4 linked regions of the Elephas maximus indicus genome follow. The protein of the gene in region 1 interacts with the protein of each later gene in a pairwise test. Links are inferred from orthologs where the notes say so. Each region holds a gene or a part of one and is shown in the gene's direction. Other genes may lie near its edges. The genes, in order: CDKN2D, HSD17B14, NR4A2 and NR4A1.

Region 1 (7,120 bases):
CACCGTTTCTGGGATCCAGGTGAGGGAAGAGGGCAGGGAGGCTCCCCTCCTTGACCCTAGTGGGTTCTTTTTTCCTATCTCTTGCCCTGGGTCACTTCCTGTCCCTGGGTTGTATCACCTCTCTTCTGTAGTCTTCCTTGCCCTCCCCTGGACAGTGTTGCCACTTCTGCTCTCAGCCTGGGTCTCCTCTCCCTCCACCTCCCACTTTGGCCTGTGCAACCTCCTCCCTGGCTACCTTGATCACATCGCTCGCTCCCCTGTCTGCAAGACATTCACCACCATTTCCTTCACCTGTGCTACCTCCAGCCCCCCAAATCATGTCCTGTCTATTCCCAGGCACTGTGTCACCTCTTTCTCTGTCCAAACCCCCCTTTACCCCAACACACTGCTATGCCATCCCTTTCCCCTTCAAGCCAAGCCATGTTACCTTATTATTTCAAACTCATGCCACCTTATTCCCCCAATATGTGCCACATATATGCCTCTGGCCCCAGCCACCTCAATTCTGCCAGCCTGGGCCACCTCCTTCTACCTGGCCTGGATCACCCCACTCCCTCCAGCCTGGGCTACCCCACTCCCCTCAGCCTGGGCTACCTCTACCCCTGGCCTGGGCTACCTCTCCCTCTGTCCTGGGCCACCTCACTCCCCCCAGCCTGAGCCAACTGTCCCTCCAGCTTTGATCGCCTCACCCCAGCTTGAGCTACCTCTCCCCCACCTCCGGCCTGGGCCGCCTCTTCCTCCGGCCTGGGCCACCTCTTCCTCCGGCCTGGGCCACCTCACTCCCCCCAGCCTGGGCCAACTCACTCTGCCCAGCCTGGGCCACCTTTCTATTCATCCCCTTCCAGGTCCGATATATGAAGATCATTGAGAAAAGTGGTTACCAGGCCCTGCCCTGGGTTCGCTACATCACCCAGAGTGGAGGTAAGGCAGCCCAGCTCCCTGGGACAGGGTCAGGCAGATGAGGCCTCAAGGTTTTGACTATATTCTGGCTCCAAAACTCAACAGGCATAGGCCCAGGCCAGCCCCTGTGTCACCTTGCCACCCTGGGGCTTGGTTTGCCTGCCTTTATTTTTTTTTTTAATATTTTATTGTATTTTCGGTGAAAGTTTAGACAACAAATTAGATTCGCATTTGACAATTTCTACATGAACTATTCAGTGATGTTAGTTACATTTTTCGCAATGTGTCAACGTTCTCTTTGTGTTCTGGTTTTTCGGTTTCCTGCGCTCCAGTTTCCCTGCCCCCTTATCTTCTTCTCACCTTTGCTTTGAGTAATTGTTGACCTTTTGGTCTCAAATAGTTTTTTAATGGAGCACCGTGTTCACGGATGATATCCTTTATTTTGGCCTATCTTTCAAATGGAGGTAGTTGTCAGCTGTAGGGTGGTCTTGGGGCTTGGAAGAGGGCCTGGGCATACAGCACCCCATCTGCTGCCTACAAAGAGGCCCATTGATATGGTTACCGCCCCTGCGTTAACCTCATCCTTAGCCTTGTTACATACTCCTGGGGTTGATCATGAGCACCGGAGTGGGGGATGGATTTGGGGAGCTGTCTCTCTGTCTCTTCCCTCAAGTTGGAGATTGCCTAGCTCATTGTTTCCCTGCAGATTATCAACTTCGTACCAGCTAGAAGCCAGAAGAGTCGGGGGCTTGGACATGGGAGAGTGTGGGACCTCTGTCTCCCCAGGAGCCGGCCGCAGATCCTGGGGAGATGAGGGCAGGCCCCTGGCCTGCCAGTGTCTTTCTCCCAGCTCCCAGCATCAGGCCCCCTGCTCACCTTTTTCTCTACCCACAGGCTGGGAAGGATGGTCTCCCTGCCTCCCTCTCCCTTGGGACTTCCCTCTGATTTTATATGAAGAAATAGGGGAGGGGCTTCAAGCCCCCTCACGAGTGCCTTCTTGCAGTGACCTGCCTTAGCGGATGTCAGGGCCCCTCCTCCAACACAGCTGCTGAGCCCAGAGGCCCCGCTGCCCATTCCACTGAGTTTTAGGATGTTATTAAAAAGATGAGTCTAGCCACTGTGTATGTGCTTCCTTGGCTGTGTGTGTGCGTCCCTGGGGTGCTGGATGAGAGTGGGCAGCTCATGTACCTCCTCGGTGCCCATCATTGCTCACCTGGGCCATGGCGGTCGGCTGGACCCTGGTCCCCTATTCCCGTCTTTGCTTGGCCCCAGTCTATTCTCCCCCTTCCAGCCACCAGAGGGCGCGTGTTAACGCCTAAGTCAGCTCCTGCCTCTGCTCAGAACCCTCCCAAGGTTCCCATCTTGTTAGCAGTAAAAGCCAAGTCCTCACTGCAGCCCTTAAGTCTTGGTCAGCCCCTCTCCTCCTCTGTCCCCTTGTTCTTTTTTTCCCCCCTTCTTCTGTTTTTAACTTAAAAAAAATTTATTTTTGTTGTTGTGTTGAGAATACATACAGCAAAATATACACAAATTTGACAGTTTGCGACCTGATAGAAATAAAGAGATTTATGACAGAATATTATGAACAACTGTATGGCAACAAACTGGATAGCCTAGATGGGGTGGATTACCCAATACGCAAGGTAAGCGCACTCTTACTTGTGCATACTTACTAATGTGTAGTGAACAATCCACCACATTTTTGATAATCCATCCCTGTCAGGGATTGTAAATTTAAAAAGAGGCTTTGAATTTATAGGAACATACTGTGGGGTTGTGAGAGAGACAGGTGCCAGCCATACCTAGAAGCAGAATCTTTGATAAGTTGAAAAAATGTGAAATTGTTCACTACACATTAGTAAGTAAGCACAAATAACCCCATACTTACCTTGCTTTTTTGGTAATCTGCCCCTGAACCTAGATGAAATGCACAAATTCTTAGAAGCACACAACCTGCCCAAATTGATTCAAGGGGAAATAGAAAGTCTCAACAGACCCATAACAAGTGATGAGATTAAATCAGTGATCGAACACCTACCAACAACAAAAAAAGTCCTTTGCTTCACCGGAGAATTCTACCAAAACATTTAGAGACTGACACCAATACTATTCAAACTCTTCCAAAAGACAGAGAAGGAATGCTTTCTAATTCCGTCTATGAAGCAAACATAACCCTGATACCCAAAGCAGACAGACACCACAAGAAAAGAAAACTACAGGCCAATGCCCCCTCACTCATTCTGTTTCAGGTGTTGGACACATACCAGGTGCGCTTCAGTCTCAGGGCGCAAGGGGTAGTTCCCTCTGCCTTGGCACGCATTCCCCACGTATACATGGCTCCCTTTCCACCTCCCTCACCTCCGCATTTCCCTTCCCGAGGAGCTACCACTTATCCTGTCTTATCAGCTATATAGCGTTTAGACCCTGAAAAGATTTAACTACTGTCTTCTCCCGCCCTAGACTGAGGCAGTGGAGGGTGCCTAGCACAGAGTAGGTGATCAGTAAATCTCTGAATGGAGGCCTCTGTAGCGGCTTTTGGCCACGACTCTCCTCCTAGGCTCGTGGGCTGTTGAATCCAGAACGTGAGTCCTTCCTCACCCACCCCATTTCATCGTTTTACTTCTGTCACGGTGCTCGACGCTACCTAAAATGACTGAATTTCATTGTGTGCGCTCCCCCCTAAAAAGTTCCGGTGCAGTGCACAGTGGGGAATGAATGAAATAGTGCTCAGCACATCCAAACTCACTGCCGTTGAGTCGATTCCGACTCATAGCGACCCTATAGAACAGAGTAGAACTGCCCTAAGAGTTTCCAAGGAGCGTCTGGCGGGTTCGAACTGCTGAACTCTTGGTTAGCAGCCGTAGTACTTAACCTCTACGCCACCCAAAACGCTAATCGCGTGACCGAAAGGTGGAATCCCGGGCTAGGCGGCCCCAGCCCTGCCTCCTTTCCCCCCGCCCAGGTGCCGAGGTCCCGGCGCAGCCCGCGTTACCCTGCCCCTGACCTTTCTTCGCTGGGTCAGTTAAACCGGCCCTCTTTCCCGCCCGCCAGGCGCGTTTGAAAACCGAAAACCCCGCCATTGCCAGCGGCCTACGGTTGCCGCGTCCGGACCAATCAGAAGCGACACCTTCCACGCCAGAGCACGAAACCCCCCCGGCGACTCACGACCATTGGTTGCGAGGGGCTCGTGGGCGGGGCGCCGCAGGGTCGCGCGCCGGGCAGCTCTGCCTGGCTACATTGTAGCGAGTTCGTAAAAAAACAAAACGGCGGTGTTCGGGGCGGGGCAGCGAGCGCCGTGGCTCCGCCCCCCGGGGGGCCGGCTCGGCGGCGACGGCGGCGCCGGCTCAGAGCAGACCCCGCCCGTCGAGGAGGAGGGTGGGTAAGTAGGGGGGAGACCCGGCCCCCAAGGGGCGGGCGCCGAGCTGAGTCCTTTGGGCCAAGGAGGGTTGGGCCCGGCTCCTAGCCCCTCGCCACTCGCCGGCTGACAGAGGGAGGAGCCGTGCGGGAGCTTGGGGGTCGCGCAGGAGCTCCAGACCTGCGAGCTGAGCTGGGAGCATCACGCAGGCCGAGCCACGGCGGCCAGGCCCTGGGAAGGCTGCTTGGCCGGCGCTCACGGACTCCCCCGCGCTGACCAGCCGCTGTGGGGCGGGGGGCTTCGCAGGCAGCCAGCATCGACATGCTGCTGGAGGAGGTCCATGCCGGCGACCGACTGAGCGGGGCAGCGGCCCGGGGCGACGTGCAGGAGGTGCGCCGCCTTCTGCACCGCGAGCTGATGCACCCCGACGCCCTGAACCGCTTCGGCAAGACGGCGCTGCAGGTGAGGCCGGGCCGGCCCGGAGCGGGGAGAGGACGCGGCCCCCAGACCCCTGACCCTCGTCGGCTGGACCTGGAGGGATCTGACTGGGGGCTTTTCCTCCTTCACTGGGCTGACGCTGCTCTCTGAGGTCCCCTTTCATGGGAGGGGAGGGTAAGGTTGGGCGAAGGGGGAGGGTTCTCCATCTTCTCTGGAGGATTCCTTGTTCCCTGGGTGAGCGGCATTCACTTTCCCTGAGGAGGACCTTTTTTAGTGGGGGTTCAACATCTTTGGGTCACGGTTTCATGGGGACGGCTCTGGTTTTGGGGTGCTCCCCTACCTCTGGGGGAGGCGGTCTCCAGAAGGAGGGTTTCATGTTTCCAGGGCATCCCCATTTTCTCGGGGGGGAGTTCTCTGAGAGGTATCCGGTTACTTGGAGGTCTCCAGCCCTGCGGGGGTTTGCAGATTCCCCCAATAGGGGGATGGTTTCGGATTGTCCCTTATTCTCTGGGGGACATTTTATGGGGGATTCAATTTCTCGAGATAATATGGACAGCATCCTCATTATATTGCGGGGGAATATTCCCTGGAGAAGGCGATTCAAATTACCTGGACATCCCCCTTTCCCTTGAGAGGGCTGTCAGGTTCTTTGAGGGCCCATTTCTGGAAGAGGTTTCATATTTCCTTATACTATCCTATTTCCGGGGTGGAGTGGGGTGTTGGTGGTCGTCTCCAGTTTCTTAGGAAGAAGCTTAGGTTCCTTGAAAGTTGCCATAGGGCTTATTCCCTAGGAAGTTTTCATTTTATCCTTAGGGCAATGCCTAGCTCCTTGGGGTTCCTTTTCCCAGAAGGTCTTGTTCTCTGGGGTCTCAAAAAGCTCCCCCTAGGGCTGTGTTCCCTGGGATTTCTCCTGTTCCCTAAAGGACTCCTTTTCTGGAACAGGCCTCCTTCCTGCTCTTGGAAGACCCTTCTCTCTCCTGGGACCCCCTTTTCTGGGTCCCCTTCCTTGGGGGAACCCCTCACCCTCTGCCCCACACAGGTCATGATGTTCGGCAGTCCCACCATCGCCCTGGAGTTGCTGAAGCAAGGGGCCAGCCCCAACGTCCAGGATGTCTCTGGCACCACTCCAGCCCACGATGCAGCTCGCACTGGATTCCTGGACACCCTGAAGGTCCTAGTGGAACATGGCGCCGATGTCAACACGCCTGATGGCACCGGGGCACTCCCAATCCATCTGGCGGTGCGGGAGGGTCACGCCGCGGTGGTCAGCTTCCTGGCTGCTGAGTCTGATCTCCATCACCGGGACGCCAGGGGGCTCACGCCCCTGGAGCTGGCGCAGCAGAGAGGGGCTCGGGACCTCATGGACATCCTGCAAGGGCACTTGGTGGCCCCACTGTGACCAGGATTTCACTGAGCACATCTCTGAAGAGGAGGGAAGAAACACTTTCTCCTCTTACTCCTACTGTCCAGTGTTGAGGGGGAGGGGCGCCAGTTTGTGGCTTGCTGGTGTTGATTTCTGGGTGTGTGTGTGTTTGGGGGGCGTTTCTCGTTTGTTTTTCTCACCCCTTTTGGTGTGTTGGAAAGAGTGGGGCTTCTGCATGCAAAAGCCACCTAAACGGTTCAGTTTCCTCCGCGCCCCAGGCTGCTGGGGCTGCAGACCAGACCAGGGCAGAGCGTTAAAGACCCAGCCCCGGAGTGAGGTCATCGGGTCATCGCCACCAAGTCTCCTGGCACCTGGCGACCTCGGCCGACTGCGCCCAGAGACCAGAAGGGTGCGCACTGCTTTGGACATGGGGTGGGGGCAGAGTTCCAAATCCATAAAGGGGTGGCATGAATTCATCTATATTTTGTTGAAAGCCTGTTATCCAGTCTCTTGTACAGTGTTGAAAAAATAGATTCTATTTATTAAGCTTTATTGAAGAAATTGTTCAGTGTGATAATTTAATGTTTTTATCCATTAAATTAAGACTTGAGTATGACCACAGCGAGGGTGGCTTCAGATTTCTGTGTCTGGGATGGCGATGTTTGTGGGGGTAGGCATGGTGGCTCGCGGAGCGCCGATACTGTGGGGGAGGGGAGAGAGCGGTAATTCCCAGGGTAGCAGGGGTGAGTGAGCTGGGTGGGGCAGCGGTTTGCGCTGTCGGAACGGAAGGGAGGCAGGAAACCGCGAGTGGAGAAAGGGCCCCCAGATGTCAGCTGGGTGCCCGGAGCCCCGAGTAGGGGGAATGGGCGGTGGCCGCGGCCTTCCCCGCAGGGGCGTGACCGATGGGCGGGGACTTCGCCAAAGAGAGGACCACGTCCCGGAAGGATCGGGGGCGGGGCCGGACTCTGCTCCCTTAAAATCCACGGTGGGCGGGCCGGACGCAGCCCCGCCCCTTTAAGGTGCCTGCGTCGCGCTTGCGCAGTGGACAAAAGAGCCGCCATGCCGGA
Region 2 (7,917 bases), on another chromosome or scaffold:
CTCAGCTTAGTGACTGATTACATACTTTAGATTGCATTATGGCAGGTCATCTGCTCTGCACAAGGCCAACTGATTAATCACATTAATCATGACGAGTGTTTGGTCAAATGACTGGGAACCATATCCTAGCCACGTTGACACGTAAAATTAACCAACACATCATATGTCTCAGATAAGGATAAGTCATGTAATGGACTCAGAGCACCGAAGAAGCCTTTGAAAAGATAGTTCAGTTGAGTCTGGATGAACTGGAAAAAAAAGGTTTGGCCATGTAGAAAACAGTGTTCCAAGCACGGGGAACAGACTATGCAAAGACACAGAGGTGATGAATAAACAGGCCACCACTCTGTATGGAAAACAAAAAGCTGATTTTCTTACTTGCTTAAGCAAGGTAGATACAGTTCCCCTGAGCAAAGCAGAGAGTTGGTCTCATATAGTGTGGAGTTCAGAAAATGCTGGACTTTCAGAGGCAGGTATGCTTAGGAATTGGTTGTCCTTAAGCTGTGGGAAAGGATCCCTGGTGACACAATGGTTAAGCATTCAGCTGCTAACTGAAAGGTTAGGGATTCCAACCCACCCAGCGGCTCTGTGGGAGAAAGACCTGGCAATCCACTCCCATAAAGATTACAGCTGAGAAACCCTGTGGGGCAGTTCTGCTCAGTCGAATGGAGTCGCTGTGAGCTGAAACCCACTGATGTCAGGCAACAATAACAAGCTCTGGAAGCTGTGTGTCTGCTGCTGGTTGGTTCATTTTCAGAAGCGCTCAGGTCACTGGGGTCACTGGTTGGTTGGCTCTCAGAAGCCTGGTTAGGGAACCAGTTGTAATTGCTCCAATAACCCTATTTAAAATAATTTCTGGTGGCTCTTTGTTATCATGGATACAGAACATTCCATCTTCCCCTAGGACCACGGGAACTTTTTTATTCTCAGCGTGCTTGATGGGCAAAGGATTGGCAGGGAAGCTATGAATTACAATTATTTTGGGAGTAAAACCCAGTGCCGTCAAGTCGATTCCGACTCATAGCGACCGTTTATTTTTTGGGAATAGCTCCTTCTTTATTCCAGCCACGTGGTTCCGCTAGCTGTCAGTGTCGCCTGTGGTCATGTGACTCAGAATTGCCCCAATTGGAGTGAAGCATCCTCTTTCCTGCAGTGATTGGTCCCAAGGTTCCGGGATGAGCTGCAGATCTCAGCTGTCCTCTGGGGGTTTTCTATTACGAGACAGTAGTTAGTTTTCTTTGGTTTTGAGGCAAAGAGAGGCAGTGACAGCTAGAGAGAGCGTATGATGTCATGTCTAAGCTAGAGAGAGCGTATGATGTCATGTCTAAGCTCCCCCCCCAACCTATCCTCTTGATAATTTTGTTAGCCAACAAATCGCATCCCTTCTTTTCTGTTGTTGCTGCTAGTTTAGAGTTTTTTTTGTTTGTTTGTTTTGTTTTTCTGGCACAAGCAACCCAGAGTCCTGATGCTAGAAGGCGAGGAGGCTTGATATGGCCAGGGAAGTGCGAGTGTTTGGCTGGGCTTCCGTTTACGCACAGCAGGGACAGTTACCGTTTTGCCTGTAGGAAGATCCCTCTGGGGTCCTGTAGGGAACAAGACTGGAGGTCCAGGGGTTCGGAAAAAGAAATTGGTAGCCCAAGGCTGGAGTCTGTGTTTCTCGTCTTCCCAGGCCCCCCTGCCCCGGCCCCGGATGAGTGCCCAGGAGCAGTTGGAGCGCATGCGCAGACACCAGGAGGGTGGACGGTCCCTCCCTCACTCCACCACTCCCAGGCTTCTTACTCTGGGGAGGACACTGTCCCCAGCCAGACGCCAGCCTGACCTAGAGCAACGGGTGAGGAGAACAGATGGGGAGAGTGGGGAGATGGCATGGTTCTGGGTCCTCTGCTTCTAGCCTGATCCTCAGTTTCCCTCTTTGTAAAACTGGGATGCTTTCTACCACCTCCTTACCCATAATTTAGTTTCCAGATTCACCCCAACTTTCACCTGTGCTAGTTTGCTTCCCAGCCCACCTGGTGGTGGGTGGAGCAGCGGCAGAGACAACACTGCCACCTCACCAGCGCTTTCTCTTCAGGTTTGGGCCATGGGTCTGGATTCCAAGACCAGTTCTTCTCAGCTGCTATGTGTTGTCAAAGGCAAAATAGTAAAAAATATAAGGAAATTGATTGTTCTCAGTCTGTGGCCATTGGGAGAGCACCCCAGAACCCAGTATCAGAGTGGTTTTCCCACTCTGGTGGTTCTATCTCAGACTTTTATGAAGAGTAGAGTTCACACCTTTCATGTGGGAGAGGAAGGTTCGATTCCCAGTCAATGCACCTTATGTGCAGTGGAGGTTTACATGTTGCTATGATGCTGAATAAGTTTCAGCAGAGCTTCCAGACTAACACAGACTAGGGAGAAAGGCCTGGCAATTTATTTCTGAAAAATAAGCCAAAGAAAACCCTATGAATCACAACAGTCTGATTCTGTGAGTCCGAGCTGGCTAAATGGCAGCTCACAACAACAGACAAATTATAGGTGGAGGGCTTTACAGTTGAGATTGTGCAATCTGGGAGAGTCTCGGACAGTCAACTGAACAGGAAATGTTTAGCTCTGTGTCTAGCTAGTTTCAGGGTGACAAACAGTTTGACTCATCATTTATGAAACAAAGGACGGAAATTTGGAGGGTACGTGTCTGGGCTCAGAGTAGGTAATTCAGAGTCTTATCTAAGTCACAGGAGGCAGGGCACTCTTTGCAGCAAATCATTGCCTGGAACACAAAAAAGTGGAGGGATTTTTTTAACCTTCACTCTTCCGGAAGCGCAGGCGTCAGGTAAAGGTTAACATTGTCAGTGCCTTTCGGCTATTTTATCTCCTCTCTGAGCCCCTTCTCTTTACCCTCCAAATGAGGACATGGGGCTTCCAAGTGAAGAATCCTAATGCCCCGATTCCTTCCCAGCCTGCCGTAGACTCCTTGGGACACTCGGGAGCCCCGAAATGGCTCAGAAGCTCCGGGTCCTGGAGTAGGTGAGGAACTGGAGGGCAGGGCAAGGGAGCAGGGAAATTAATTTGCCAAAGGGGAGGGAAGCAACATTATTACTAAAAGCACCCAACTACAGAACTACACATTGCAGAATTTTAGAGACGAATGAGTTCCTGGGATGCGTGAACCAAAATCAGAAAGCCCTAGACCCGCAGTGAGAACTGCAGTTTCCATTACATCTTGGTGGCTGTCAAACCCTGCCCCTCCTTCTAGGAAATCTGGTAGATGGGACTACAAATCCTATAATGCATGTGGGCTCATGTGGGAAGCGCCATGTTTAGTTTTTTCAGAGACACGTGTTTGGGACTACGACTCCCAGAAGGACTCGCGCCGCACTGCGGTCCTCACTATACTGGCTAATTGCACATACTCTCCCCACCCCCGCCGTCCCCCCAACTTTCCTTCGGTCTAGCCCGAGGAACACCAGGCCTTACTTGCCGACATCCGACGGTCACCGGGAGAGGGTCCTCAGCCTCTCCCAGGCCCTGGCCACTGAGGCGTCGCAGTGGCACAGAATGATGACAGGTGAGGGTTTGGGGGCCTTGCACTTCTGGGTTTTAGGGAAGTTGGAGGCCTGGAAGCCTAGGTCCTGGTGAGCAGGGGCTTGGAGGCCGCCAGGAATCATTTGTTTTGGTGAGGGAAGGGCGGGGCAGGACTTGGGACTTCTAGGTCCCAGACAAAACGGGAGTGGGGTCCGGGGATCCAGGCTCTGGGGGGAATGGGGATCTGAGGGAGGAGGGCTGCGGGCTGCGAGCCTGGACTCCAGGGGCTGAGGGAGGAGGGGCTGAGGGGCCGGACTCCTGGGTCTGAGAGGAAATGCCTGGGGATCTAGACTCTTCGATCGAGAAGTTTGCCATTCTCATGCCTCATTCATCCTCTCCAGGTGGAAATTTGGACGCCCGGGGAGATCCTCTTTCCCCTGCGCCTCCGCCTCCGTCAGACCCCACACCCCGGGTTACCTTTCCCCCAAGATCTCCTCCCGTGGCTAATTCCCGCACCGCGATGCCCTCAAGCCCGGGTAGCGGGCGTAGCGTGGGCCCCGCCCCTTGGGAGTCCACGTGGCAGTCTGGTATTGCCCCTCCCGCCCTGACCTCGGCCGAGGGGGCGTGGCCTCTGAGAGTCACTCTGCTGCAGTCCAGCTTCTGACCCAAACGTCTGTCAATCGAAGCGCGGGGTGTGGCCTGGAGATACCGCCCAGAGATCTAGAGCCAATCAAGGCTCCTGGGGGTGTGGCCTGAGTCCCACCGGTAGCTAGGAGAGCGTGGTTTCCGCAGCCAAAAACTTGTTTTCCCGACGCTGTCCAAGTTTGAATTAAACTTTGAACTTTTAGTGAATAGCCCTTTTTTTTTGGTCTGTTTGGAATTGTGACACTGAGGCTTCTGAAGGAGCAGAGCGGGAGTCCTGGATTGCTAGGTTCCAAGGGAGGAAGGGACTGACGGCTCCCACTGCAGGGTGTGAGGAACCAGAGAGAACGGGACTTTTAGATCGGAGGAGGGAAGGAGCCGGGGTCAGAGGAGGAGGGGGCTGGGAGCCGGACTCCTAGGTCTGGGGGAGGAGGGGGCCAAGGTCTCGGACTCCTGGGTCTGAGGGAGGAGGGGGCCTGGACTCTTGATCTGAAGGTGGAGGGGGCTGGGTGCCGGACTCCTAGGTCTGGGGGAGGAGGGGGCCAAGGTCTGGGACTCCTGGGTCTGAGGGAGGAGGGGGCCTGGACTCTTGATCTGAAGGTGGAGGGGGCTGGGGTTGAACTTCCCAGGTCTGAGGCTTTCCTGGCACCGCCCCTGGGGCCGGGCTTCAAGATTCAGCCTCTATTTAGGACTTGACCCCGACGGCCTTAGGGGACTTCGGAGGTGGAAAGAGGCCTGGAGTGGCAGACAGAAGAGACTAGCTGACGCGGAATGGCCACGGGAAGGCGCTACGCTGGGAAGGTGGTCATTGTAACAGGGGGCGGACGCGGCATCGGAGCCGGGATCGTGCGTGCCTTCGGTGAGTTGGGGTCTGCGTGCTTGGGTTTGGGGTTCTGGGAGAGGAGCCCGGGGGCTGATAGGAGTGGGAGGAAAGGACCCCAATAGTGAAGTCAAGACTCTTATAAAAAACCAATTTTCATGCCATTAACTGCCGTCGAGTGGATTCCGACTCATAGCCACTGTGTAGGACAGAGTAGAACTGCCATATAGGGCTTCCAAGGAGCAGCTGGTGGATTTAAACTGTACACCTTTTGGTTAGCCGCCGATCTCTTAACCACTACTCCAGCAGGACTCCTCTAATTTTCAGGCTAAGGTAGGGTTTTTCAGTGGTAGCCTGGGGCTTGAGATTTTGAGATCTTTCTGTTGTCTAAAGGCAGCTCCTCCCTTCTTGGGATCTCGGGTATTAGGGCTGCAAAACAGGTGGCTTGGGGAAGGTATCTCTTGCAGGCTTAGGGTTGACTCTGGAGCCGGGGACGGGGGCCTGGGAGCCCTTAGCAGGCACCTGGAGTAGCCTAGCAAAACAGATGTTGGGGCCTTTGCCCTTTGTCCCAGAGGATCATCATGAGACTTGAGTGTCACGAGGGGTGGGAGGGCTGCTCGGCCCTCTCTCCTGGTGGCCACAAGGGGGCAGCAGAGGCTTTCACCAGGTCTGTGCTGGGGTAACCTGTTCCCTTTCCTCTTCTCAGTGGAAAGCGGTTCCCACGTGGTCATCTGTGACAAGGATGGTGAGTGAGAGTCCCTCAGTCTTTGCCCCCAACCTTTCCTCCTTCAGACCCAGGAGCCTGAGCCCCCAGTCTCCTCCTCCTTCAGATCCGAGGATCCTGGGTCCTGGCCCTCTCTTTCTTCAGACGTGGGAGTCCAGACCCCTGGCCTCCTCCTCCCTCCGACCCAGGATTCCAGGCTCCCAGCCCCCTCCTTCAGAACCGGGAGTCCCAGCCCCCTACTCCCTCAGATCCAGGAGTGGAGGCTCACAGCCCTTCTCTCCCTGCAGAGTGTGGGGGCCGGGCCCTGGAGCAGGAGCTTCCTGGCACTGTCTTCCTCCGCTGTGATGTGACTCAGGAGGAAGACATGGAGGTGAGTGCATTTTCTATCCACACTCCCCAGCTCCAAATGTTACCATCTTTCTCTGTCTCTGCCTTTTTTCTCCTCTGAGCTATTGTACCTGCTGTTCCTTCTTCCTTTCCCTTTCCTTCTCTCCTGGTTATCTGTCCTTTGTATCTGTCCCAGATGATTCAGACCATGTCATTTTGCCCAGAGACTTCTTCTGATTCTGCCGGCCAGATCACATGTCCCTTGAGTAAATTCTGTTTTCTTTGCCACATCCTAAAGGCTCTTACCACACCTGTCACATGGTTGAGTTCCTCCAAGTGGTCTCCTTCTTAACAGTCCCTGCCTCCATCTCTGGATTCTATCCCTTCCCTCTAATCAGTATCTCTCTGGGTCTCTGTCCCTCACTCTCTGGGTCTCTGACCCCCTCTCTCTGGGTCTCTGTCTTCCTCTTTCTTTGAGCCTCTGTCCCCCGTCTCTGGTTCTCTGTCCCCCTCTCTCTCTGGGTCTCTGTCCCCCTCTCTATGAGTCTCTGTACCCCTTTCTCTATGGGTCTTTATCCCCCTCTTTCTGGGTCTCTGTCCTCCTCTCTCTTTGAGTCTCTGTCCGCTTGTCTCCCTCTCTCTCTGGGTCTCCGTTTCCCTTTCTGTCTGGGTTTTTGGCCCCCTCTCTTTCTCTGGGTCTCTGTTCCTTATCTCTCTGGGCCTCTGTCCCCCTCTCTGGGTCTCTGTCCCCCTCTCTATGAGTCTCTCTGTACCCCTTTTTCTATGGGTCTCTGTATCCATCTCTCTCTGGGTCTCTGTCCCCCTTTCTTTCTGGGTCTCTATCTTCTTCACTCTGCATATCTGGCTACCTCCCAACCAGGTCTCATTCCTTCTCTCTGCATTTCTGAAATGACACTGCAGTGTGGCCATAAGTACCCTCACATGCCTGATTACCCTGAAAGAGTCTCACCCTTTCTCTAGCTCCCCTCCCTGCCTTGCTCTTAGGATCCTTGGATCCCTCCCCCCTAGGGGCTGGTACCACAAGCTGTTCCCTCACTGAGTGTCTCTTTCTCCCCAGGCCCTAATCTCTGAGACTGTCCGCCGTTTCGGCCGCCTGGATTGTGTGGTCAACAATGCTGGCTACCGTGAGTTGTGAGGCCCCAAGGCCAACCTGCCCTAAAGCCAGCTCACCTCCTTTTACCCTCCCCTTCATCCTGCACTGCAGTTTCCCCTTTTTCTGACCCCGATTCCCTCATCCTCCTCTATACCTCTCTATGTCTTTGGGCAGGACAATACAACTATGGCATCCCCCAGGCTGGGGCTTTAATCCTGACTCAGTTTCATTCTTGCTGTGTGCCCCAAGCTGGTGTCTTCACCTCTCTGTGCCTCAGTTTTCACATCTCTAAAATGATGTCATTGGGGGTTCAGTGGTAGAATTCTTGTCTTCCACGCGAGAGACCTGGGTTTGATTCCCAGCAAATGCACCTCGTGCTCAGGGACCAGCCACCTGTCAGTGGAAGCTTGCGCGTTCCTATGATGCTGAACAGGTTTCATCAGTGCTTCCAGACTAAGAAGGAAAATCTGTTGCTCCGTTTCTGAAAATCAGCCAATGAAGATCTTATGGACACAACAGTCTAACCCGCAACCGATCATGGGGATGGTGCAGGGCTGAGCAGCGTTTTGTTCCACTGACCCCACGTATTGGCAGGGAATCTAACCGCGTCTCCCATATAGAAAGTGAGAATTCTACCTTGAATCACCACTGTCCCCTGTTGGGGATTTAGCAGTGAACAAAACAGAGAAAACTTTCCTGCCTCTATATGGAATTCACATTCTAGAGTGAGGAACTAGACAATAAAACACCAGGATATGATAGGATGTCTGGGGCGATGCATACTGTGAG
Region 3 (8,008 bases), on another chromosome or scaffold:
CTGTTCAATTGGCAATTAAATTACTTAATTGCAATTAAAGTCCTAATTTTAATTGGCAAAATGATAGATGTAGATTTAAGATAATATGTATAAATACTTTAATAAGTGTCTATATAAGGATTACTTAATTACTCAACTTCAAGTTTATGCTGTTAACTTTAGAACTTTTAAGTGAGCAATGAAATTTATATTACATCTATTCAAAGGATATGGTAATTAGATTTATTACTTATCGCTATAAGGGTGCTTGCTATAAGTTACTTTTGTAGTGTTAAAATTGTAGGCTTGATAATTGCAGAATTATGAGAAAAAGGGCATGTATTCCTTTGTTGTAATATATCAGTGCTTTATCTTCATTTTCTTGTTAAATGGAGAGTTTCCTATCAGTAAGGTTGAAGGAAAAAAATCAAAAGTGGTTATTTTATCATTCAAGATAGAACAAAAAAACTAGCCAGCTGTGATTTACATATAAAAACTCCGTTGCTAGGTGTATCCTTTTTATCTATTTAAGGAAATGTTATCTAATAGTGATATGGTTATTAATATTATTTACTACGTCTACGACTACAAGTGACCTTGATATTTTCATAGCATATAGCAATTTATTTTCAGAATCTTTATGTCTTTTAGGACTTCGCACATTTCAGTGAGTCCCATGTTTACTGAAATTAGCAATGAAATCTAAGGAAAATACTAAGCAGTTAACCTAAAAGATATTTAGGAGATGGTTACTATAAATTGAGTATTAACGAAAGATGAAGGATTTTTTATAATGCAAAATACTATTTGAGTGGCATGAGGTCTTACCATATGTTCAGTTTTAAAATTTTAATTTATAAGTAGATGCTTCTAGAAAAAAAAAGTGCTGTTTTCTTCTGCACATCCTTACACATTTCCAGAACTGAGTTCTAAAACGAAGTAAGAAATCAGTTTTAAAGTCTTTGCTGTAAGTGGTTTTTTGGTGACAAGTGGGCTAAATAAAGCTGAATAAAAGCTACAACTACCCAAAATGTGAATATCTGCTAAGCAATTGACTTAAGTGTCCTATATGGTAGGAACAAATGATTCAGTTGATTAATATCCTATCAATGCAAATGAAATGGCAAAAACAAAATAGCTGCAAAACCGCCTCAATATTAAAATATGATTTTGTATTTTCAGAAAGTTTTTCAAAGTGAAAATTTATTTCTTCTACCACTGCCATAAAACTGCCTGTCGAATGGCTAAAAATGCTGTGAATGCAAGGTTATCCAAATATAATTTAAAGTATGTTTCATCTTAGTGCTTAGAATAGGTTTCATTAAGTAATTTTATTATGAAAATTCTAAAGTTACCTTCACTCTTAGGGCATAACAGGTACGTCTGTTTCACTATATCTGCATTGAAAGGTCTATTCTGAGTTCATTTTGGGAGAATAGTGAAGGAAATCCCTAAAGGCCCCTTTCCCATGCATTAAGATAGAAAATCTTATGGGATTACATCCCTGTTTGCTTTCTAAATTATACCAAAAGCTGAATTTTATTAAGTTTAATCTGCTTAGCCATGCATAAAATAAAATACTTTGGTTTAGATGTAAGTGTATGTATTACTTATGTTGATTTTTTATAAAAATATTTTACTTGTGCCAATATGTGTTGCTCACTATTGGCTGGTATAAAAGATAATACAGTAACGTTACCTTCCTAAATGTTTTTTTGAAATCATCTAATAATAATATATATCAATAATAATAGTTTTCTGTTTTAGTTGGTTTCAAAAGATGGAGCTACTTATGGATAGCATGGATTTTTACTCCCATTTATTTTAAATTATTAAGAAAAGAAACCATTATGGGATAACTATGTATTTATACATAGCAATAATTTAAAGTTATATTAGATGTTGAACCCTGAGAAAAAAACACTATTGTCATTTTAATTAGGTTATAAAATGTTTTATTTGAACTGTTTATGTTCAAGAATCTTGAAGGATTGCAGTCATATAAATGCAGAATTTCGGTTTCTTTTAGCCTAAAGCATCATTTTAACATTTTCTAAAAGGTTGTTCAGTTCTACATTTTGATTCCATTATATGTGTAATTAAACCTCTGTGCACGAAAGTATTCTCCTATGTACTAGCAAGTACACCCACAGGAATCCTCTTCTAAACTATAATTTATTTAAACATGTAATCATAGGATTTGAAAACATGCCTTCATTTTTCCAAACAATACGCCAATTTGAACTGCTTGGTAATAAAAGGAGAGATTTTATACCAGTATGATTTTTTTTTTCTTCCCCTGTGACCTAACGGTGAATGAAAATGGGCAGGAGGAAATTTTAAAAAGAAAATGTGTTATAACTGTTTCTCTTCTTGAGAAAAATAGGAGAGAATCAAAGATTTGTAGCTATTTATGAATTCCAACACAATATGAATATTTGGGCCTGCAGTATTCTCTCCTCAGGCTTGGTCTAAGTAGTAGATAGTTGTGTATGTGTGTGTGCGAGAGATCGATCTTCTTGAACGTTGTGGAGTCAGGCCCCCTACTGACAGGATCAGTCAATTACAGATATTGGCGGTTCTTCTGGGATTTAAACCCATCAGAACCTGGTGAGGTAACAGGAGTCTGGACTTTGAAGGACGACCTTTCTTTACACTTTCTGTTCCCTGTGCTTGATCCATTTCACCCACAGCACATCCGCAACCTACCAAAAGTGCCAACCCAAGGAGTAAAAAAAAAAGGAGTAGTTTATCCAAAAATTGATTTTAGTCCTGGTACTTCTCAAGAAGCAACTTTTCCCAGGAATCAGAATAGGAATTTGGGAAAAGGATTGTAGAAGACAAAAAAGAGGCCCCCTTTTTTCTCAGTTTATGTTTAAGCACCCCATTCCCAGTTAATAATGACGATAAGCTTCTGTGAAAACTGTCCCGAGTACGTTAAGATTTGGGTAAAGCCTCTGTCAGATTCGACAGGTTGGTGTTAAAGAATAAATCACATTACAGTGTTTGGCTTCCTTGGACGCTCACTTTAAGAACTTTAGGACGCTTTTCCATTCCCTGGGAGGGAGTCCTTAGGTGGTTCCCAGACTAAACCCAGCACAAATCTGGATGTGTTTTTAATCACAATGAGGGAGAAGTGAAGGGAGCGAATGTATCTATTTAGATGCTCGTATTAGTGTCTGTATGAAGAGTGGTGGTTACAACTTTAAAGTTCTCTCGGCCCCCGCTTTCCTAAGACTAGATTTAAAAAATAATTTGCCACCCTAGCTTGGCCAAGCTTGCGTTTCCGACTGTCTGAAATAGCTTCCTGGAGCCTGGCCCACCGCGGGGATCAAGGAAAGCTCCCCCTCTGGCCGCGCCCTGCTCCCTAGCGGAAGGGGAAGGGAACCTGGGAGGGCGCCATCCACGCTGGAGCTACTGCTATTTTTGGGCCCCGCCGGGCGGGTGCGTCAATGCCTGCGCCCCTGCGTCACCGCCACCCCCACCCCCTTCCTTCTCCCCAGCTTTCCAAACTCTCACTTTTTCCCTTTGGTTCGCGTGGACTCGCTTCTGCCCACGGGGTGCTGACGCTACGGCGCTCATGCTAACAAGCTATTCTTCGCCCTCCTCCCTTTCTCCCCGGTACTTAAATATACTCACCCACCACAATAACATACCCTGCACACACACAGACACACACACACAGACACAGACACACACACACACACACACACACACACACTTCCTGGTTTTATTTTTTTCTCGCGCCCCCTAGGGCACCTCGGAGCTGCACCAGTGGTAACAGTGGTAGCGGCTACCGCAAAGTCTGGGGAAAACTTAAGGTGGACACGTAGATTTCCCTGAGGCTGCGGCGCAAAAAAGCTTTCCGGGGCAGCTGCTGTGTACCGAATGGCAGCGCCTCTCCAGCCGCCGAGGAGCAGGGGGCAGCGGGAAGCGTGCAAAGGCGGGAGTGCAGATTAGGGCTGAGCATAGTTCCACGGAGGGGACGCGAGTGGCAGAGGGGCCCGTAGCAGCCCGCAAACAGGCCATGCCGAGGGAGGAGGGGCTGCTGGAGCGCTCTCCGCGGGTGGGGAGCGTCTCCGAGCTCTCCGCTAGTCCCAGTCTCTTCCAGCCCCACGGGAGAAGCCCCAGGAGGCCCTCCTAGCTCAGGCCGGCCGGGGGACCTGGAGGGGGGCTCGCCCTCTGAAGAAGCGGTGTTTACTTTGCTAGAAAGCGCCTTGCCCTCTCAGCGTTGCGGGCGGATTGACTCGCTAAGCAGAGTCGGCGGCCACCCCGCGGGCTGGGAGGGTCCGCTCCCACCTCCTGCCCGGGTCCCTCGCCTGGAAGAGCTGAGCGCCCGCACCTCACGCTTCACGGAGACCTCCCCGCCCTCCCCTCCTCCAGCCATAATGTCCTGCGTTTCTCCGTTGGCCCTCAAGTTGACGCGTGAGAACCCTGTGTTACAGCGGAAGGTCAACTTATTTCCCTAAAACTCATGTAAGGGTTAAGAGACGGTGGGCGCCGGGGTGTGCTGAAAGTATTACAGTTGGCAGAAGGTGGGATCAGAGCACCTTCCTGCAGAAGGCGCACCTGTTGCCTGCTGCTCGGCTGCATTGTCTGAGAAGGGAAAGCGGTCGACGCTTCACTCTGATTCTGGGGTTCCTGAAGGGCTGGGTCACTGTCCACGCTCTTCCTTACCCACCCCCTCCATACACTGATTCCTCCCTTGTATGTGGGCACTGCAAAGAAACAAGGCAACGCAGAAACATAGCCTCTACTCTCACCCTCTTCCCTCCATTGCAGTGTGTGTGTGTGAGAAACAGAGACAGAGATACAGAGAGAGACAGACAGGGAGAAAGCACCTAGCAGGGAAATCCCTCCCCAACAGCCTGAACCCTTTGACCATCTTGTGTCATGGGACATTTATCTGTACGCGCTTCCGTTGGGGGGGGGGGGTGAGGAGTGTGGGTGGGTGGTTAGGGCACTGCACTGCACACCCCATCCCTTGCTGTTTCAGGTGCGGGCTACCTGGCCCACACCAGGGGTCCCTTCCGCCCAGCCTTTTTTTTTTTTTTTTTTTTTTGCATCCTCCTCGCATGTGAGCTGCGCTGCAGCCGCGATGGGCGCGGGGGCTTCGGAGACGGCGAGGTGTCCAGGTTCTGCGAGCTGCGCGGGCTTGGGTGGAGAGATCACACCTCTTTCAGAAAAAAATAAATAAACCAAGCCAGCTACCAAGGTGAACCCAGAACGGTTCCCACCTTAAAATCTGCCGTGCTCGTGACGTCAGGTCGGAAATATACCAAAGCCAGCGCGGGCCAGGAGTCCGGGGAGCGCGGCTGCAAGGCGATTGGGCCACAAGCTGCTGACGCGCGCTGACGCGCGGAGACTTTAGGTGCATGTTGGCAGCGGCAGCGCGAGCCACATAAACAAAGGCACATTGGCGGCCAGGGCCAGTCCGCCCGGCGGCTCGCGCTCTCCTCCTCGGTCCCCGCTCGCCCGCCTAGCCGGCCGCCTAGCCCTCTTCCTTTCCCGCTCGCGGTGTCTCTGCTCCCTCTGCCCCGCTCACCCGCCCCTCCCCGACCCCGCCACCCGGCTCCCAGAGGGAATTGCACTTCGGCGGAGTTGAATGAATGAAGAGAGACCCGGAGAACTCCTAAGTGAGTAGGTGCAGCCCGTGAAGCTCGCGTTCTTTTATCCTCCTTTCCTCTTTGCGTGTGTTTTCTTTCTACTCGTGTGGTACACGTTCTCTGAAAGTGGGAGCTAGAGGCGCGGAGGGCGAGCGGGGCCAGAGAGTGGGGAGAATGGATGCGCGTAGCTACTGAGAGTGCTCGTCAGAACTCAGGCTTTGGCACTAGGGGGGAGTTGGTTCCAAACAGAGGCTTCCCAGGCTCCTTACTGGTGGAAGTGGAAGGGGGACTTGCACGTTTCTGGGAGTTGCAGGCTAGCCCGCGGAAATACGCGCAAAGTTTGCTCTTAAGATGAAATTGATTGTGGTCCTTAAATACGGAAATTCCAAGTCGTGCGTATACGAGGGGCCTGGACGCTGCCCGCAAAGTGACAGGGAAAGTTCTTCAGTTTATGTGTTGCTTGGGAACAGTGTCACCGCGGCTGGCCAGCGTGCCCGTGTTTCCCGAGTGTTGTTGATTAAAGGTGTTGTTGGTAGAGTGTTGTGCTACTAAGTTACCTGAAATTTCTGAGTTTGACATATGCCGGAGAGAGAGAAATACAGAGACAGAGGATGTGTAGAGAGTACAGTTATGAAGCTGCAAAGCTACCCGGGGATTAATATTCTACACAGACATCTCTCTGAACGAATGTGAGGATCCAGTTCCCTTTCTTTCAGCTATTTTTTTCTGGTCACCCCCCCCCCCCCCCATGAAGCAAGGTTTTGAAGAGGATGGAAAAAAACAAAACAAAACAGGAGTGGATATTTGGCTTTCTTTTTCATTAGTAATAAGATTATCTAAAAAAAAAAAATGCTCTAGAATGCCTTCCAAGTGGGGACATCTGAAAATTACTAGAATACAAGTATTCCTTGTTCCAGCAAGTAGGCAGATCAGGGAAGGCTGTACAGGGAAGTAGGAAAGGTATTCAACTTACCATACTGGGAAGCACTTTTAACATTGATGCCAGTACCATGTAAGGAATATTTCCCTCGTTCAGCAGCTGGCTTAAGATCCTCCTGGAAAAGTAGGGTCCCCTCTTTCTACTCCTTGGCCATTAAAAATAGTGTGAAAGACAGGGTTCCTGGAAAAGTGAACACCAGTTTACTTGTATCCATAGTGCTGAAGAGCAATCCTAGTGCTCTGTCGAAAGCACTTAGGAAACCCAGATGCTTCAACTGGAATCAAATGGTCTTTCCCTATGTCCAGACCTAACACTCTAACCCTTGGTGGTTTTGTTTGTTTTCCCCCCTCATTTTATATTCTTAACTTTTAACTTTCTTCCCCCCTCCCAAAAGAAAAGCCAATGTTACTGAAAAAAAAAAAAAAGAAGTTTTTTTTCAAGAGAAGTTTCCAATGCTTCATTTGATTAAAGTCCAGACTTCTGATTCAGGCCTGTTAAACTAAAATGGAAACATGTCCTCCACAGCTTCATTACACCATAAGTGTTAAGTATAACTACATGCAATACATTTCTTCCTTCATGAACCCTCTCTCTGCAATGATTTACACAGTGCAATGGGTGGCATTTTCTGTTGTTTCCAGACATCTCTCTTACACATTCATTCTATCTGCTGTGTTTGGTAAAGGCTATACACTGATTTCCAATGAAACAAACTGGGAGGGCATTGGAGGGCCTGCCTGATTGAGTCTACTTATGTCCTGCGGAATCTCTGGCGGGAAAGTTGTCCTGACGCTTCCTGTGTCTGTATTTCAGGGAGCAGATCTGAAAGGCTGGACTCCCCATTGCTTTTCTAAAAATCTTGGAAACTTTGTCCTTCATTGAATTACGACACTGTCCACCTTTAATTTCCTCAAAAACGCCTGTAACTCGGCTGAAGGTTAGTGCAACTTCATTTCTTTCCCTCCCTTCCCAGAGTTCCCTAACGTCAAGAGACTCGGCAACGCTATTTCCCCGGGCAAACCCTGTAACTTAAGGCTTCCCGGAACTATCACCTTTGGGAGCAACTGCCTAATTGTGCAATTCAACTTCAGCGGAGTGGTTTCTAGAACGAGATTTCGGAGCCCGAGCTTCAGAGAGGCTGATCAGAGCGGGGTTGGCTATGAAGGCGGGCGTGGGGGGGTGTTTGGAACTATCCGGGAGTGTGGACCCTCAATAGCTTTCTAACTCCGGGTCTTTATGTGCCCAGCCCTTCCTCGCTCGTCCTGCACTGTTTTGGCTGCGGCACTCGCGCTCTCCCGCCCTTCTTTTCGCGCCCCTGCTCTCTCTGTCTGACCGCCGCGGGCTGCCGGTGTAGCTCCAGGTGCACCCGAGCCGGGGAGAAAGTGTTCAGTTGACCAGGCTGAGTGTATATTACCCTGTTTCATTTCCAGCCATGCCTTGTGTTCAGGCGCAGTATGGGTCCTCGCCTCAAGGAGCCAGCCCC
Region 4 (7,244 bases), on another chromosome or scaffold:
ACAAGAACCCCTTTGACATCCTTTGGCTCCTCCCTGCTGCAGTGGGAGGGAGTGGGTGGGGAGGAATGGTATCTCCCTGACTCAGTGGGGTTGGATCAAGGGTTTCTGATAATGTAAGATTGAGGGGCATATAGTGAAGACCACTAAGGGTCTGACTTTTTGTCCTGGGTCCTGCAGCTCACAGCTCCTCATCTCCAGAATCCCTACCTTGCCCCCTAATACCTATCAGCTTTGGGGCCAGCCCTTCTCCACTGTGGTATGCCCTTCCTTCTCTCTGCCCTGCCTGGTCCTTTCCCTCCCTGCACACTGTGCCCCCATGTTCTCCTCCTCCAGTGAGGCCTCTCAGACTAGCTCTCTAGATTCCACTGCAGTGCTGGCTTGAGACCTCTTAGAGGCTGCTTCCTGGTCTTCTGACAATATTTTAATACCTATTCTTGTTTCTTGCCTCCCCATCAGACTAGGAACCAGCTTTCTGCCACAGCACCTCCCTGAGGAATTTCCTAGAAGACAGGACAACACTGGCCAAAGTGCCTGCCCCCCCAACCCCCCCCCCCAAACTATTCAGGTAGCTTCTCTTTCCTCAGCTTCCTCATCTGCAGTATGGACTGTGTAGGGGTTCCTGAAGGAGCCTTGGTGGCACAGTGGTTAAGCGTTCGGCTGCTAACTGAAAGGTGAGTGGTTCAAACCCACCCGCCACTCAGCGGGAGAAAGATGTGGCAGTCTGCTTCCAAAATGCTTACAGCCTTGGAAACCCTATGGGGAAGTTCTACTCTGTCCTATAGGGTCGCTATGAGTTCTAATTGGCTCAGTGGCACACAACAATGGTTCCTGGGATTTGTGTAGAAAGAGGAAGGGCTAGGCATGAAGGAACAAGATGGTGGGTAGAAACAGCACTGGTTTGGGAGTTAGAAGATCTGGGCTGTGGTCCTGGCTTGGTCACTAGCTGAGTGACCTGGGTCAAGAAGACAGCAAAGCCACAAACCAGTTGCTGTGGGGTCAATTATGAGTCATGACAATCCCACATGTGTCACAGTAGAACTATACCCCATAGGATTTTCGGTGGCTGTTTTTTCTGAAGTAGATTTTCAGGCCTTTTTTCCGAAGCACCTTTGGGTAGACTTGAACCTCCAACCTTTCAGTTAGTAGCTGAGAGCGTTAACCACCTAGGGACTCCAGAAGACAACAAGGGGCCTGGAATTTACTGTACATCAGTAATGGCACTAAGGGGTGGCATAACCCCCAACTGCACAGCCCTCCCTGCCCCGCAGCTTCCCTACATAAACATACCAGCTGGGCAAAGCCATGGTAGGCACTTTGCATGTGCAGCTTCAAGACAGGTTCCCCAGCCCTGCCTTCCCACCAGATGGCCTCCGCAAGTCCTCCTCTGTGGAAACGGCAGCCCTGCCACTATGTGCCCAACTCCTTGCTACATGTTTTATGTCTATTATCAAAGATGCATTACTTATGACAACCCTTCGAGATACGTATGTTATCACACTTGTGTTTCAGATGAGAAGCCCAGAGAGGGCGAGTAACTTCCTTGAAGTCACACAGCTGGGAAGAGTTTGAGCCAATGTGGATCCCAAGCCTCTTGAGTCTATGCTTCTTTCACCACCTCATGCTGGCACCACAAGCCACACAGTGCGTGTGTTTTATCCATGCATGTTTTAATATATGTTTTGATTATAAAGCAGGGGAGTTTAAAATAAAGGCAAGTTGTGCTAAGGTATTTATAGAAGGGAGAGACCTCTGTGGGCTGGAAGGCTTCATGGAAAAACTGGTAACTGAGCCCTTTTTTTTTTCCTTAGTCCTTCCTGTCCAAATAAATGTATTTCTCCTACACAGGCAAATATTTTAGAATGTATTTCAAAAGTTAGATTTCTGGGAAAAGAAAAAGAGGGGGTGGGGTAGTGGTTTAAGAAACCCATTAGGAAGCAGCTGCTGAGGCAGGAAGGAGGGGAGTGTGGAGGGTGGAAAAAAGCTGGTCCCCTGGCTTCCCCCGCTCAGCTATTTTTTTTGAAGCCTCTCTTTATCTGTAAATTGGCCTAACACTTGTATCTGGGAAAAAAATGTGAAGGTTCTGAGGAGGTGATTTGGAACAAACCAGAGGTTCTTGGAATTATTATGAGGAATGAGAGAAAGGGGCTTCTGAGTTGCACCAGGAGTTTAGGGTAGGTCCAGAAAAGGATTTGTGGGGGTGGGTATGGGGGTGGGGAGAAGAATGTGGCCCCTGGAATGAGGGCTGAGTGGGGTGTGGGGCCTCCTTTGGAGAGTGCAGAAGGCATTCTTTGCTGCGTGGGGCCTGGCCTGGGTGCTGGGGATTAGATCTCGTGTTCATAGTTTAAAGTGACTCCAAAAGTGAGCAGGGACCGGTGGCTGGTGTAGCAGAGCACAGGACTGGGTCCTCGCTAATGACTGTTCTCCAATGGCCCTGCCGCCCAGCATACAGGAGCTGTGACCCCCAACCCCACCCAGCCGGACCCAAGCGCCACTGCTCAGGCCTTGGCCTGGCGACCCCCTCCCCACAGATACACCTGAGCAGGCAGCTGTTGGGGAAGAAGGATTTGCTCAGGACAAGGTAGTTCTCCCATATCCAAAGAATGCCCCAGTCAGGTGGGACAGAGAAATCTTCCAAGCACCCCCACCACCAGGAAGGTTCTTATTGGGGAAGCCTGCACTTAGAGACTGTCTTAGTCATCTAGTGCTGCTAAAACAGAAATACCACAAGTGGATGACTTTAACAAAGAGTTTATTTTCTCACAGTAAAGTAGGCTAAAAGTACGAATTCAGGGTGTCAGCTCCAGGGGAAGGCTTTGTCTCTCTGTCGGCCTTCTCATCTATCTTCCCCCAGACTAGGAGCTTCTTCGTGCGGGGACCCCGGGTCCAAAGGACATGCTCTGCTCCTGGTACAGCTTTTTTGGTGGTATGAGGTCCCCTTGTCTCTCTGCTCCCTTCTTTCTTTTATATCTTAAGAGATTGCCTCAAGACACAATCCAGTCTTGTAGAGTATACAGCCTTACTAACACAACTTCCACCCATCCTCCCTTATTAACATCATAGAGGCAGGATTACAACATATAGGAAAACTCACACAATACTAGGAATCACGGCCCAGCCAAATTGATACACACCTTTTTGGGGGGACATAATTCAATCTGTGACAGAGACTACAGTCAGAGGAGGGTGGGTCTCTCAGGGCTTCCTGGCCACTGTGTATTTCCTGCACTAAGCACTCCTGAGGATTGGAGAAGTCGGACTTCTAAGGGAGAGCAAGGAGGAGAAATTCATTCTACTGTGTACAGGGCAACTTCACAGCTGCTTAATCTTCCAATAAACAAAAAAAAAAGGAAAAGAAACAACCAAGATGGAGACAGTCTTATCATCCTCATTTTATAGGTAAGGAAACAGAGGCTCAGAGAGGTTAAGTGACTTGTCCCAGGTCACACAGTGGTATGCGTATGATCTAGAGAAGCCAGGTCTGTGACTCCATCACGTGTGCTTTGCCCTTGCACGCATTCTCAAGTCTGGGACTGCTTCTCTTCAGGGGAAATTTCACTCTCTCAAGAAGTCCTCTTTCTGTCTAATCTGCCTTCTTGTCTGGGAGCTGGGCACTCTTCTTACCTGGCTTCTTTGCCCTTGGGGTGGCATACAGGCCAAGAAAGGCTGGTGTGGGTGCCCAGGGCTCAGTCAGGGGCCCTGTCATCTAAAGCCAGCCTAACTGCTGTGAGACTTTGGGCCGCCGCGAAGCCTCTCCGGGCCTCTTTTTCCACTTCTTCCTCGGGGGAAGCCCCGGGTAAGTTTATTTATAACCTGGCTCCGGGTTCCTGCCTCGCTAGGTGTTAGCAAGGCCTCAGAACCCTGTGAAAAACAGCCCCTCTGCCCCGGCCCCAGCGAGGCGGGTTATGTAACAGTGTGTGCAGCCTGTGTGTGTTGGGGAGGGGGGGTGCCGCGGGGCGGGGCGCTCGCGGCTATTCCGGGCGCCGCTATTTTTAGCCCCATTGATGAGGCTGCGTCGGCCGCCGCCGCCGGGATTCCGGAGACGTCAATGGGCGCGCGTCACGGTCCCCGCCTGCCCGCCGGGGGAGGCGCGCCGAGGCTGGGATGGCTACGCGGGCGGCCGCGGGCTGCGGGGGCGGGGGGCACGGCAGCGGCCGGAACTGCTGGGCCGGGGGCTTCCTGGGGGCGGGGGGCGCCGAGCCGCAGCCTTGCGGCGGCAGGAGCGCGAGCCGGCGGCGGCGGAACTAGCGGGGGCCCCCACGCGGCGCCCGCGCCCCCCGGCCTCCGGGTATGGGCGCCGCTGCGGTGCAGAGCAGCTCCCCGTCTGCTGATGCGCGACCCCGGAAAGCTAGGGTGGAGAGGCGAGGCAAGCACTCCCTGCCAGGTGAGGGGGCAGCCTGGGGAGGAGCACGGTGGTCCCCGGGGGAGGCCCGGGGAGGAACGGGGTCTACGGGGTCTTCGCGGATGCACTGCAATGGGCTCAGGGCCACGCTGGGAGTCTTGCTTGGAAACTGGAGAGTGGGGGGAGGGGGGGACTGGATTCCCAGCGGAACCTGCTGGCTCAGAGTCAGCCCCCAAGTGCGACGGCCAACCCTTTCTCTCCCAGCCGGCCAAGGGTGGGGTTTGGCCCGCGAGGGGCGCTGGAGGTGGCCAGGCCCGAGAAATTCCTTCCATATCCCCGCCGGCTGCGGGGAACGAGTTCCAGGAGCTCCGGAGCTCGGCTGCCAGGAGGTCGGGGCGGGAGGGCCCGGAATTGCCCTGCGCAGCCCCTGAGTGGGTCTGAGCCTGGAAATCGAGCCCAGAGAGGGTCTTATGGGGTCAGGAGCGGGGCTAGGGTTGGGACTCAGGAGCCACATCTACCATGACAGCGTATTTTTCTGCCGCAGCACCCTCTTTCCCAACAGCGACCTCATACTTGGGGAGAGCGGCACCTCCTCGGGGGGTGTTGAGGGGAGAGCTCCGTTCCTTGACTTCAACAGATTCTCCTTTTATGCGCCCATTTTTGATAAGTGGACTGGTGGACACAGAAATGCTGCAGAGGTGGCATGTCTTGTTGACAGTGAAGTGCTGGTCTGCGTTTTGGGGTTAGTATTATGGGCCTGTCGGGAAAATGAAGAATGGGCAGGGGCAGGTAGATTCACAACTGTTATACTTAAAAGGTGCTGATGGTTTGGGGGACAGATATCACCCTGGAGAGGGGCTCAAGTGGTGGCCACAAAGCATGGTCCCAGACACATTCCAAGGGAACACTTAGATCAGTCACTGGGATGAAGACTTAAAGGGGAAGCCAGTTGACTTTTTGTTCTGACCCAGAGCTGGGAGGAATGACAAGTGTACCAAAAAACCAAACCCATTGCCATTGACTCGATTCCGACTCATAGTGACTCTATAGGTTAGAATCGAACTGTCCCATAGGGTTTCCAAGGCTGAAATCTTTAAAGAAGCAGACTGCCACATTTTTATCCCGCAGAACAGCTGGTGACCTTTTGATTAGCAGCCCAACACTTAACCGCTGCACCACCCATAAAATGAAGATTTCAAATGTGGGCTATAGGGCAGAAGGATGGGCCAAAACTGACAAGATGAATGTGACTAATGGTAAGTGTTTACAGGCCTGGGCTGGAGTTCAGAAAGTCATCTCAGGAGTCAGGCTTGGTGAGAGGCCTGGCTCAGCTGCCCAGTGGGTGGGGTCTGTCACACTGTTCTGTGCAATCTGAGGCCTCTACCCACTGCACAGGTCCCAGGGGGCATGGTGATACCCCGCCCTGGGCTCCCTGGTCAGGCTACCTGGGTTCTAATCCCAGCATTGCCAGTTCCTAGCTGTGTGATCTCAGGCAAGTTGTGTAACCTTTCTGTGCCTTTGTTTCCTCGTTGGTAAATGTGCATACATCCTTCCTCATAGTGCTGCGAGGCTGAAATGAGAACATGCGTGTGAAGCGCTTCACAATGTATGGAGCATGGTGTTTGACAAGTATTAGTGACTGTTATTACTGTTAGTATATGTCCATTTCAGGGTGGGGACATAGGCAGAGGTTGTGCCCAGGAGGCCACCAGGGCTGCAGAAGGTCTGTCAACCATATACTGTTGCACAGGAGCGTTTAGATAAAAGACTCAAATACTTGGTAGGAAGGAGAAGAAGGTCTTCTGTGGGCTCATGCAGGAGGTAGAGCTGGGATCCAGGGCTGTGAGGCCTTTAGAGTCTGGGCTGTGACTCAGTGTAGGAAAGATCCTCTGATCTGCCCCAAAGGGGAAGAGGCAGTTTTGGGAGCTGTCTGGCTCCTTAGCTCAAATGTCCTCCCCGTCTCCTTCCAGACAGCTCGCTGACTCTCCTCTCAGGAGGGTGGTGTACCCCTCCCCATTCCACAATACTTACGGAACACTTAGTGCTGAGCACTGTTTTAGAGACTGAAGACTGGCCGTGGTGGCGTCAGGCAGGGTCCTTACTTATGTTCTAAAAACAGAATAGTGTGATGGGTATGGGGGGGCTCTTTAAGGAGGTGACAAGGGGAATAGAAACCTGATGGATGAGGAGCCAGCCTTGCAGGCATCCGGGCAGTGACTTTCTGGGCAGAGGGAACAAAGGCCCTGAGGTGGGGAAGAAAGCTCACGTGACTGAAACACAGTGAGTGGAGGTAAGGTGCAGGTGCGGGGGAGAGGGGGAGTGGCCGGGGGGGAGGGGAGGGGAGCCAGAGCTGGGGCAGCCTGATGCTCCCTCCCCGTTTTGTGGGCATCACTTTCTCCTCCGAGCTCACTCAGCTCTTGGCCCACCCTCGGAGGCACAGGGCTGTTTGTAAATGTCTTTGGTTCTTTCTGTGTCCCTCTCCCCACTACGACCTCCTGAGCTGCAGGTGTCTTGGTTTGCTCATTCTTTTGGAATGAGTGTTGAGGAAGGAGTTTTAATCTGGGACATGAGATTGTATCAGATACCTGTTCTAAGGTGTAATGAATCACTTTCTGAACATTGGGTGCCACACTCTGGGCCCTGTCCTCAGACACAGGCAGGGAAGACCTGGGTTCTTCTCTGGTTGGGCCTGACTGGGGTTCGAGGGTATTTGGCCCTCCCTGCCCTGCTGTCTTCTTCCCCAGCTGTGAGGAGACCCTTAAGGCCTAACTACAGAGTCGTTTGGGGGGTATGGGAGAACGATAGTGTCATTCTGGAAGCAGGTGTAGCCTGTGGGCTGCGACAGGCCTGAAGCCTGATTTTGCTTTTTGTTTGAGGTTGGAAGCCCTCCCAGATGTCCCAGACA

The links.
Region 2: the proteins of CDKN2D (region 1) and HSD17B14 interact in binary tests that used the Homo sapiens proteins (3 or more experiments, as listed by UniProt). The two-hybrid records come from large-scale screens. The link is inferred for Elephas maximus indicus from reciprocal best matches to the Homo sapiens genes CDKN2D and HSD17B14.
Region 3: the proteins of CDKN2D (region 1) and NR4A2 interact in binary tests that used the Homo sapiens proteins (3 or more experiments, as listed by UniProt). The two-hybrid records come from large-scale screens. The link is inferred for Elephas maximus indicus from reciprocal best matches to the Homo sapiens genes CDKN2D and NR4A2.
Region 4: the proteins of CDKN2D (region 1) and NR4A1 interact in binary tests that used the Homo sapiens proteins (3 or more experiments, as listed by UniProt). The two-hybrid records come from large-scale screens. The link is inferred for Elephas maximus indicus from reciprocal best matches to the Homo sapiens genes CDKN2D and NR4A1.

The regions. Positions count from the first base shown.
Region 1 is NC_064821.1:28,616,083-28,623,202, reverse strand, and holds CDKN2D (cyclin-dependent kinase 4 inhibitor D), read left to right. Parts: upstream 1-4,270; 5' UTR 4,271-4,573; coding exon 4,574-4,714; intron 4,715-5,729; coding exon 5,730-6,089; 3' UTR 6,090-6,605; downstream 6,606-7,120. Other genes in the region: AP1M2 (AP-1 complex subunit mu-2), read left to right, coding at 1-19, 846-921, 1,607-1,629; protein KRI1 homolog, read left to right, coding at 7,113-7,120. UniProt on the Homo sapiens protein: Interacts strongly with CDK4 and CDK6 and inhibits them.
Region 2 is NC_064829.1:99,266,628-99,274,544, reverse strand, and holds the start of HSD17B14 (17-beta-hydroxysteroid dehydrogenase 14), read left to right. Parts: upstream 1-4,914; coding exon 4,915-5,002; intron 5,003-5,669; coding exon 5,670-5,708; intron 5,709-5,974; coding exon 5,975-6,057; intron 6,058-7,092; coding exon 7,093-7,159; intron 7,160-7,917. Other genes in the region: PLEKHA4 (pleckstrin homology domain-containing family A member 4), read left to right, coding at 1,670-1,831, 3,301-3,544, 3,903-4,165. UniProt on the Homo sapiens protein: Catalyzes the NAD(+)-dependent oxidation of L-fucose, yielding L-fucono-1,5-lactone, which rapidly converts spontaneously to L-fucone-1,4-lactone. Can also act on D-arabinose and L-galactose, with lower catalytic efficiency. Does not use NADPH.
Region 3 is NC_064824.1:53,560,861-53,568,868, reverse strand, and holds the start of NR4A2 (nuclear receptor subfamily 4 group A member 2), read left to right. Parts: upstream 1-5,008; 5' UTR 5,009-5,584; coding exon 5,585-5,615; exon of another isoform or gene 5,616-5,619; intron 5,620-7,338; exon of another isoform or gene 7,339-7,462; intron 7,463-7,955; coding exon 7,956-8,008. UniProt on the Homo sapiens protein: Transcriptional regulator which is important for the differentiation and maintenance of meso-diencephalic dopaminergic (mdDA) neurons during development.
Region 4 is NC_064822.1:107,448,007-107,455,250, forward strand, and holds the start of NR4A1 (nuclear receptor subfamily 4 group A member 1), read left to right. Parts: upstream 1-4,239; 5' UTR 4,240-4,381; intron 4,382-4,559; exon of another isoform or gene 4,560-5,595; intron 5,596-7,244. UniProt on the Homo sapiens protein: Orphan nuclear receptor. Binds the NGFI-B response element (NBRE) 5'-AAAGGTCA-3'. Binds 9-cis-retinoic acid outside of its ligand-binding (NR LBD) domain.